Oryzias latipes: one gene and its partner. The protein of the gene in region 2 binds, or shares a complex with, the protein of the main gene of each other region. Links are inferred from orthologs where the notes say so. Each region holds a gene or a part of one and is shown on either strand. Other genes may lie near its edges.

What was found.
Region 1: mettl3 (region 2) and wtap share a complex: the UniProt entries of both Homo sapiens proteins name them as parts of the WMM complex. The link is inferred for Oryzias latipes from reciprocal best matches to the Homo sapiens genes METTL3 and WTAP.

The regions. Positions count from the first base shown.
Region 1 is NC_019882.2:7,325,451-7,329,637, reverse strand, and holds the start of wtap (pre-mRNA-splicing regulator WTAP), read left to right. Parts: upstream 1-1,387; 5' UTR 1,388-1,470; exon of another isoform or gene 1,471-1,607; intron 1,608-1,660; exon of another isoform or gene 1,661-1,737; intron 1,738-2,148; 5' UTR 2,149-2,156; coding exon 2,157-2,186; intron 2,187-2,288; coding exon 2,289-2,344; intron 2,345-2,417; coding exon 2,418-2,476; intron 2,477-2,571; coding exon 2,572-2,699; intron 2,700-4,032; coding exon 4,033-4,187. Other genes in the region: sod2 (superoxide dismutase [Mn], mitochondrial), read right to left, coding at 1-114, 462-490. UniProt on the Homo sapiens protein: Associated component of the WMM complex, a complex that mediates N6-methyladenosine (m6A) methylation of RNAs, a modification that plays a role in the efficiency of mRNA splicing and RNA processing.
Region 2 is NC_019876.2:17,637,149-17,641,169, forward strand, and holds the start of mettl3 (N6-adenosine-methyltransferase catalytic subunit), read right to left. Parts: upstream 2,804-4,021; 5' UTR 2,788-2,803; intron 1,965-2,787; coding exon of another isoform or gene 1,908-1,964; exon of another isoform or gene 1,702-1,907; intron 1,571-1,701; exon of another isoform or gene 1,439-1,570; intron 1,361-1,438; 5' UTR 1,355-1,360; coding exon 1,252-1,354; intron 1-1,251. Other genes in the region: ttc5 (tetratricopeptide repeat protein 5), read left to right, coding at 1,908-1,964, 2,804-2,936, 3,031-3,242, 3,338-3,488. UniProt on the Homo sapiens protein: The METTL3-METTL14 heterodimer forms a N6-methyltransferase complex that methylates adenosine residues at the N(6) position of some RNAs and regulates various processes such as the circadian clock, differentiation of embryonic and hematopoietic stem cells, cortical neurogenesis, response to DNA damage, differentiation of T-cells and primary miRNA processing.

The DNA of each region.
Region 1 (4,187 bases), on a different chromosome or scaffold from region 2:
GCACAGATGTGGGGCTCCAGGGCGCCGTAATCATAGGTCAGGTCAGGAAGTGTGTGTTTCTGCCTTGATGATCCGACTTTCCAAGAAACAGTTTGGTGCAGGATTGATGCACAACTGAGAAGGGGGAGAAAAGGCAAAAAACTCAACATCGTTGTGGCAAATAACCTTTTTTTAGCTTGTGATTTTAGCTCAACAAGCCAGTGACATTTACCAACCAATTAAAGTAAGAAATAGAAAACATGAACGAATTTGTACATGCAATAATACTTAAACGCTTACACTATACTAAGAGTTGTTTTCGTTGTACGTCACAAGTTTTTAACTAAGCAGCTAAACCAGATTAGCATTGAAGTTAGCTAACAGTTAGCACAACAAAGCAAACAGTTTTCCACGCTGCTGATACAAGTATTTTCTTTTAGTTTTTGAACTTTACATAAAAATATAACGTAGACACATCTTACCTGCGCATTTGCCAGACTTTGCAAAGCATGTTTGCTTAAAGGTTAGAGAGCCAAGAAAAGTGAAAACAAGGCGGTATTACTGCCCTTGAAATGGGCAATTTCAACTTGACAGCGGAGTCGACCGTACCATTATCAGAATATGGGGATGTTATCGAAAATGGCTTAAATTCATATAAGCTTGAAAGGCAATATATACTATTTTTATATATATTTATAAGATAATAATTATATTTTCGGCAATTCAATTGCAACCAACGTCATCTTTTAAATTTTGAGATTTATTTCTCGGTCTTACCACTTTTCCTTAGCCCTGTCTTTTGGTAGATACCGAAGATTTATTGTAACATGGGGCCACATGTGTGCGAAAAAAATTTTTTTAAGCCCTTTTCGTTTATTGTACTCAAAATTTAATCATATTAAACTATACAATATTTGTAAGGTTGAAAATTTGTAACAACTTTGCGTCACGATTAAAAAATAACTATGTAACCATTGGAATCACGTGGTCTTTGCGTCACTGTGTTGAAATGGATACCAAAGATCGTCTATATCTACAACGAACCACTCTACATAATTTAAATGCGATCTGTTGTGATTGTAAATTTTGTGATCAAAGTAAATCCAGTTTTTTGGTTTGCAATGCAAAAAAGATGAAAAGACGCGTAAGGTTATGTCACATCAGCAAGGAAATAAATTAATTTCCCTTTCTTAGTCATTACAACATTTGAGAATAGTATTGGGTCAACAGCTTTGGATCGTTTTCTTTAGATAAACTAATAATGTAATACATCGCAAACCCAGAAACATTCAAGGAAAAACACAGAACTAAATGCAGTTTTAAATCTTAAAACATTTGATCACAACCATTTTGATTGTCCGGAATTTTAGGATCGGAAAATGTGAGCGTAGTGAGCAGACTTTTCTCTCCTGTCCACTGCTGGTATTACTCCGCAGAAACTCAAGTGCAGTGCAGCACCTCATCCTCCAGAGCCGTCCTGTTCTTCTCTCGGTAAAGGGGATGATTCTGAACACTTAAAGACGAGGCCACAACTTTTAATCAACCACCACTCTTTACGCATTTAAAAACAGTTACAGAGAATCTGTAAACCTCGAAGGTTTTTCGAAACATTGAAGCGAACGGGCCCGGTGAGTGTTATGATCGCGTAGGCCGCGTGACTGCAGCTAAGAGCCCGCTAGTTTCAGGAAAAGAAGCGCAGGGGTGGGAGTCATTTCCTTCACCGCCATTTTGTTATAACAAGAAGCCGAACATAGCTAAGTAATTATACACTTGATGCTTAGATAAACGACACGTTGAAAGATAACATCGCAGGTCTCTAAAATGTGTTTACGTCGCCGAAATGCTAAACGATTATTAGCAGTGAGGGGTTAACCTTGAGTACTTTTTAAAGGAAACCCTCCGCCGCTGACTGCAACAGTCGTTAGTAGTACTCGGCACGACATACCCTATTATCGGGTTATGTTCACTTTAGTTTCGCGGGTTTGTTGAATATAGCAATGGCAGTTCACTGTTGACACTTCAGTTTTGTCGGGAAGGCCCGTTTATAATAATTTTTGAGGGCGTCTGTGATCAAACGTGACGTCTAATATTTAACTGCGTGACGGCCAGCGCGAGGACAGGATGCCCAACAAAAAAAATAACACGTTTTCTGCTTATTTTCATTCCTAGAGAGCACAATGACCAACGAAGAACCTCTGCCCAAGAAGGTGAGTCTGATCCAGATTAAAACTACTCTTTAAGGGTGCTGTTGGTTGGTAATGGATGTCTAAGCAGCTTTTTGTTTATTCTATTTTTATTTTATTTTACAGGTTCGCCTCACTGAATCTGATTTGAAGACCTTGACCAGAGAGGAGCTGTGTACACGGTAAACAACAGCCCCTGTCCCCTCCTGTCTTCTGATGATGTTGAGCTGTTTACATGGATCTCATTCTCCTCAGGTGGAAGCAGCATGAATCATATGTCCAGGTCTTGGAGACTAAATATGCAGAGCTGTGTTGTAAGTTCACTTAAAAAATAGATCTAGCCCGTTGCATCGCAGAGTGTCGGCTGATGAGTTTGTTTCTCTTCCCTCCCATCATCCACCCCCCTCAGCCAACGACGTCCCGGGCCTGAAGGAGTCTGAGGAAAAGCTAAAGCAGCAGCAGCAGGAGTCGGCTCGGAGGGAAAACATCCTGGTCATGCGACTTGCCACCAAGGAGCAGGAGATGCAGGAGTGCACAGTAAGTCTCTCGCTCAGGTTTTTAATATGCAACACTAAAAAGATGAGTTGTTCTAAAGTTGCAGCACCTGGAAGAAATATTTAATGCTTTCTGTATCGTTACAGTATAATTTCTAAACATTTTTCTGCCTTTATTAGATAGAAAGTTTGAAGATAAAATGTTAAAAGCATAAGAATCACTAAAAAAACTTGACAAACCTGAAAGCATCTGTCTTTAGGGGATAAAAACACCAAAATATTAGATTCTTTTTAATTAATATTTCTTTTCAAATTGCCTACAAGGTGGGGGTTGTTTTTTATTTTGGAGTCTATCAATTTACCAAGACACATGTTAAGGATTTATAAATTGCATGAAAGGGAATGTGTGTTAATGAGAACACATCTTGGTTTGTAATCATTCTAGATGAGAACAAGTTGTGGTGGTTTGCAAGCTTTTACATCCAAATATTTAAAGTATTTTCTTTCTTATCACTTTTTAGATGTGGATACTGAATCGCCTGTTTGCTATTTTAAAACGACACTAGAGTGAAAGCAGCTTTTACTTAAAGCCTCGGATGAAAATTGTGTTTTTGACATGTTCTTGTGGGGTTTTTCTAATGGAAGAGGACATATTTAAAGACAGTTAGGCTTAAAGTTGCATTTCTAAGTATTTCTTTATTCAAATCATGAATCAGGAGTGGTTGGTAAAATTCTGCTACATAGGAAAATAGACTGATCTCTGATCTGCTGCATTCTGATCCATCCACTTGTAGGCAGATCCACGTGCGTCTTTGTTTTCCTCGCCTGAGCTGGCATCAGGCTCAGAACTCGTCTGGAAGGCTCCAGTATTGCTCACGATTTTTGTTGCGCTGGTAATGTTAGGTTGAGTCTGTGAAGGGCTGTAAGCTAGCAGGAGAGAGCGATAACAAATGGGTGGAGAAGCAGAGGCAAATTTCTAACGAACAACTGCCTTTCTGCAGAAAATATGTCCTTTAAAATAAAGATATTTTTTACATAATTTTTTTCTACAATTACTTTGTTTTTATATTCTATTTCCTTTTAAGATTACAATGCTATTGTAACACACAAATTTCCCATGTGTGGGATCAATAAAGTGATTCTGATTCTAAAAACAACATAAGCGTAATTACAAGACCACTGGGAAAGTTTTTAAAATCACTCAAAAGAGGATCGAAGTGGGACTTAAAACTAAGCGTCTAGACGCAGATTAGCCTAGATTTTGATCTATTTGAAAGCAGTTTTGTTACATTTTTAAAGGGAAGATGTTTAGGTGTTAAAAGCAGCTTCATAATGTGTGTGACTGGACTCTAACACCTGCCTGTTGCCTCCTACAGACACAGATCCAGTACCTGAAGCAAGTCCAGCAGCCGAGTGCAGCCCAGCTGCGGTCGTCCATGGTGGATCCAGCCATCAACTTGTTTTTCCTCAAAATGAAGGCTGAACTGGAACAGACTAAAGACAAACTGGAGCAGGCCCAAAATGAACTGAG
Region 2 (4,021 bases):
CGTTACTGTATCTACTTGTTTGCCAGTGGATGGATCAGAGTGGAGCGGAGCTGGGAGACTTTCTGCCGCCCATTTCAAACGCTGCATCACAACTGAAAGCTTTTCCAAATAGTGGGTTTTTATCTGCTCCTGATCCATCCATCCATCCATCTTCTTAACCGTTTTTCCCTTTCGGGGTCACGGGGCTGCCGGAGCCTATCCCGGCCACTTGTGGGCGAGGTCTGTCGCAGGGTAGAATGTCCACAAACACACCACACACTCTCACACATAGGGACAATTTAGAGTGACCAATTAACCTATGAAGCATGTTTTTGGATGGTGGGAAGAAGCCGGAGACCCCGGAGAAAACCCACACATACACGGGGAGAACATGCAAACTCCACACAGAAAAGCCCCCTGTTGATGTTGTTTTTCATGTCCCCCAGCTGGGACTTGAACCGGAGGCCTTCTTGCTGTGAGGCAAGAGTGCTAACCACTGCGCCACCGTGCAGCCTCCTGATCCATCACCATGGAAATAAAAAATACTCAAAAAAGCAGTTTTCTTGTTTTTCCCTACATCCTGAGCAAAACGCTATGAGGAGAAGAACCCCCAATAACATGATTTTCATCAGAGTCGGTCTTTAAAAAAAATTTTTGATTCCTCTGCTCCATTTAGGATTGTTCAGTTGTTAAATTTTATTTCCACTTATTTTAAGGAATCTATTGTTCAACTTGCAAACAAACAAACAAAAACCACAACAACAAAAAGAAAACAAAGTAATCTCGAATTGCTAGCTACTTACTGTAAAGTTGTTATAATAATCAACATTTGTGATTTTGCTCCTAAAATAATTTTTTAGAATCTATATATATCTTTCTAAAGACTGTGAGGAAGTTTTGAAATAAAACATTTAGATGTGCTTTTCAAATATTTTTATATTAGAAAGATTTTAAATTAACACAATAAAATTGTATATATACAGACAAAAATTTTCTTTACTGGCTTTTTTGTGTTTACAATTAATACTATAAATTGTTTACAGAGGTTTTTACTTTCGTTATGTTGTTTGGTCGCTGTAGTTCAGATAATAACCTAAATAATCAATAAAAACATCAGTTTTTTATCTGCGAGAATCTATTTGTTAATTCACTAACTTGAAATTATAACAATAAAATGTATTTTAAATCATTTATATGAACAAGCAAAAACGTAGAGGATAAAAAGTAAAGGTTGTGATTGAATGGTGTCCCTGAGACTGAGACCAGCCTAACCTGCGGACAGCTGCGTTGGGTCTTTCCGTCGCCGCTGTAGCCTTTCCCGAAGCGAATCCAACTGCTTCTTATGCGCCTGAATGTTGCTCCATGTATCCGACATGACGAGCTGGAGAAATCAACACGAAATCAGTTGCAAGTCCCAAAAATGAAGAAACTTCCAAACTAACAAAATCACCCTCGGCACCTAAAGGAGCCCCGAATGTCCGGTCCAGAGAAAAGTCTCGGGCAAGTAACTCGATTGCGGTTAATGTTTCCGCTGAAAAATTACTGCTTTATCTCAATAGTATTAATAATTACACCAACTATCAAGATGTAAAAAACACGATATTGTACTAGTATACTTGTTACTTATATTTTTACAATTTGTTATTTTTGCCCCTAAAATGAAAAATGAATTGTTTTGTCGGACTCTTTTCTGTGAAGGACCGCTTCTACTTCCCGCGTCACTGAAAATCCATTTCCGTCATGCAAAAAAACAAAAAACAAAACAAGGATTTCAGTTTATTTTTGTTACTGTTTTTTCCTCGTAGTTTTATTTTTGTCTGAGTCTTGCAGTTATAGTGCGTTTGTTTAAACATATTGTTTTTAGCCTCCGTGTTTTTTTCTCTCCGTTAGTCTTTGTTCCCCCCCAGTTCGCAGTGAGTTTGTCAAAGATGGCGGAGGAGAAAGGGAAAAGGGATGAACCCAAAAGTGAGGAGCAAATGATGAAGGCAAGTCTTTCCAGTCTTTTGAGACTTTGTTTTTTCTCTCGTGTCGTTTCTTTTAGACTATGATATTTATATCTCGCCGTTATCCGTGTTGCGCGTCTGCGCCTCACATGATTAAGCAGCAGCTCAGTCTCAGTCAGTGGATGAAATCAGCTGTTTTTCTAAAGATGCGGTGCTTGATGTTGCTGTATTTCCACAGAAGTGGCTCCACATTTGTTCCAAACATTTGGAAGTCCAGGTTTTATATATCTTCTATAGAAAAGGGATCACTGAGGCACCAAACCATACGGAATGGATGATGTTTGGCTACAATTGTTCACATCTACTAAGCTAACACATATCAATGTTACAAAAATTAAAGCTTTAACCAAAAAGAAAAAAAGGAAAGTGTTAGGTGAGTAGTGGTATTCAGTAACAACACAACTTAACCTGAAATGTTGGAACAACAAACGATTAAAAGATCCACAAAATATTATGCTCTTAATTTGTAGGATTTCATTAAATGGGAGATAACTTGGCAAATATGAAAATAACAAAAGTCCTACTTTCAGAAAACAATCACGAATAACTGTTTTTATTGTTGACAGTTTTGTGTAATTTATCTTAAAGGCCCTCTTGGACAATTCATAGGCAAATTTCCTAACTCCTGCCGCTGTGCAGAAACTTTGTCCTAGAAAACATCACACATTTTTTGATTTTGGCTAAAAAGATCATAATCATACTTAAAAGACCCCTGGAAACACCTTTACAACAGATCAAAAAAGGATCGGATTGGGACTTTACTTTTTTTAAAATAAATGTTTATAAAATAGTGTTACGTTCTCACCTCCTCTGTAACGCAGGAGCTGGTGGATGACCTCTACGACTTCCGAGATCATTATTATGAGACGCACGGCGCCGAGCAGGTTGGAAAGAAGCAAAGCGATGTGACCCGACGGATGGAAGAAACCCTGAAGAAGCTAGAGGACAAAGAAAGTGGGTAATACAGCTCTAAAAAACAGATTTTTGTCAACTTATTTAGCAAAATATCCTCCTTTCAACTGGCTCCTTCGTTTCCTCCTATTAACAGACTGCTTTAAGAACAAGGCCGGGTTTTTGCTGCTGAAAGGCAGGTGTCTGAATGTGGCTCCGGACTTCTGTCCCAGAGCGGAGGAGTGCCTTTCCCGTGCCGTTAAGCTGGACCCCAGCCTGGTCGAGGCTTGGAACATCTTGGGGGAGCAGTACTGGAAGAAGAAAGACCTGATCGGAGCTAAAAACTGCTTCACTGGTGCTTTGCAGCAGGTGCTGCAGCTGTAACAAACAGAAACTATCTGTCTCTTTGTGGAAGAGCTTACTTTGTGACTAACTAAATGCTGGTTTTCCCTAAACCTTCACAGAGCAAGAACAATGTGTCTCTGCGCAATCTGTCTATGGTTTTGAGGCAGCTACCAGCAGCCAACGGGGAGGAGCATCGCAAGCAGGTGCTGCACAGCGTAGACCTGGCCCGCCAAGCTGTCCAGTTGGACGTTAAGGATGGAACGTCTTGGCGTGAGTGAAATAAAAACAAAGATCCGTTTTACAGACCTCGCAAAGACCCACTCCAGTGAAAATGGTGTTTGGGGTGTTTTTTTTTTGAATATGTTCTTGCGGCATTTTCCTGATGATGGAGGTCATACATAAAGAAAGTTAAGCGTAAATTTCTAAGTATTTCATTATTCAAATCGTTGTGAATCAGACGGAAAAAAAGCTGAAAAAGATCGTATTTGTAATGTAGAAAATACGCTGGGCGGGCCACAAGCTCCGCTGCATCCATTTGTAGACAACTACATCCATGTACGTCTTTGTTTTCCTCCTCTGCGCTGGAATCTGGCTGAGGCTGGATAGTTCAAACATTGCTCACCATTTTTGTTGTACTGGTTATGTTAGGTTGCAGGTGTGAGGGGCTGTAAGCTAGCAGGAGAGAGTGTAAACTGATGGATGATGGGAAGGGAGACGGGCAGTCCTCCCAATCTATTTATCTACAAGCACATGCATCAGAATGGAGCAGAGGAGGGAGCTTGTGTTGTATTTTCTGTCACAAA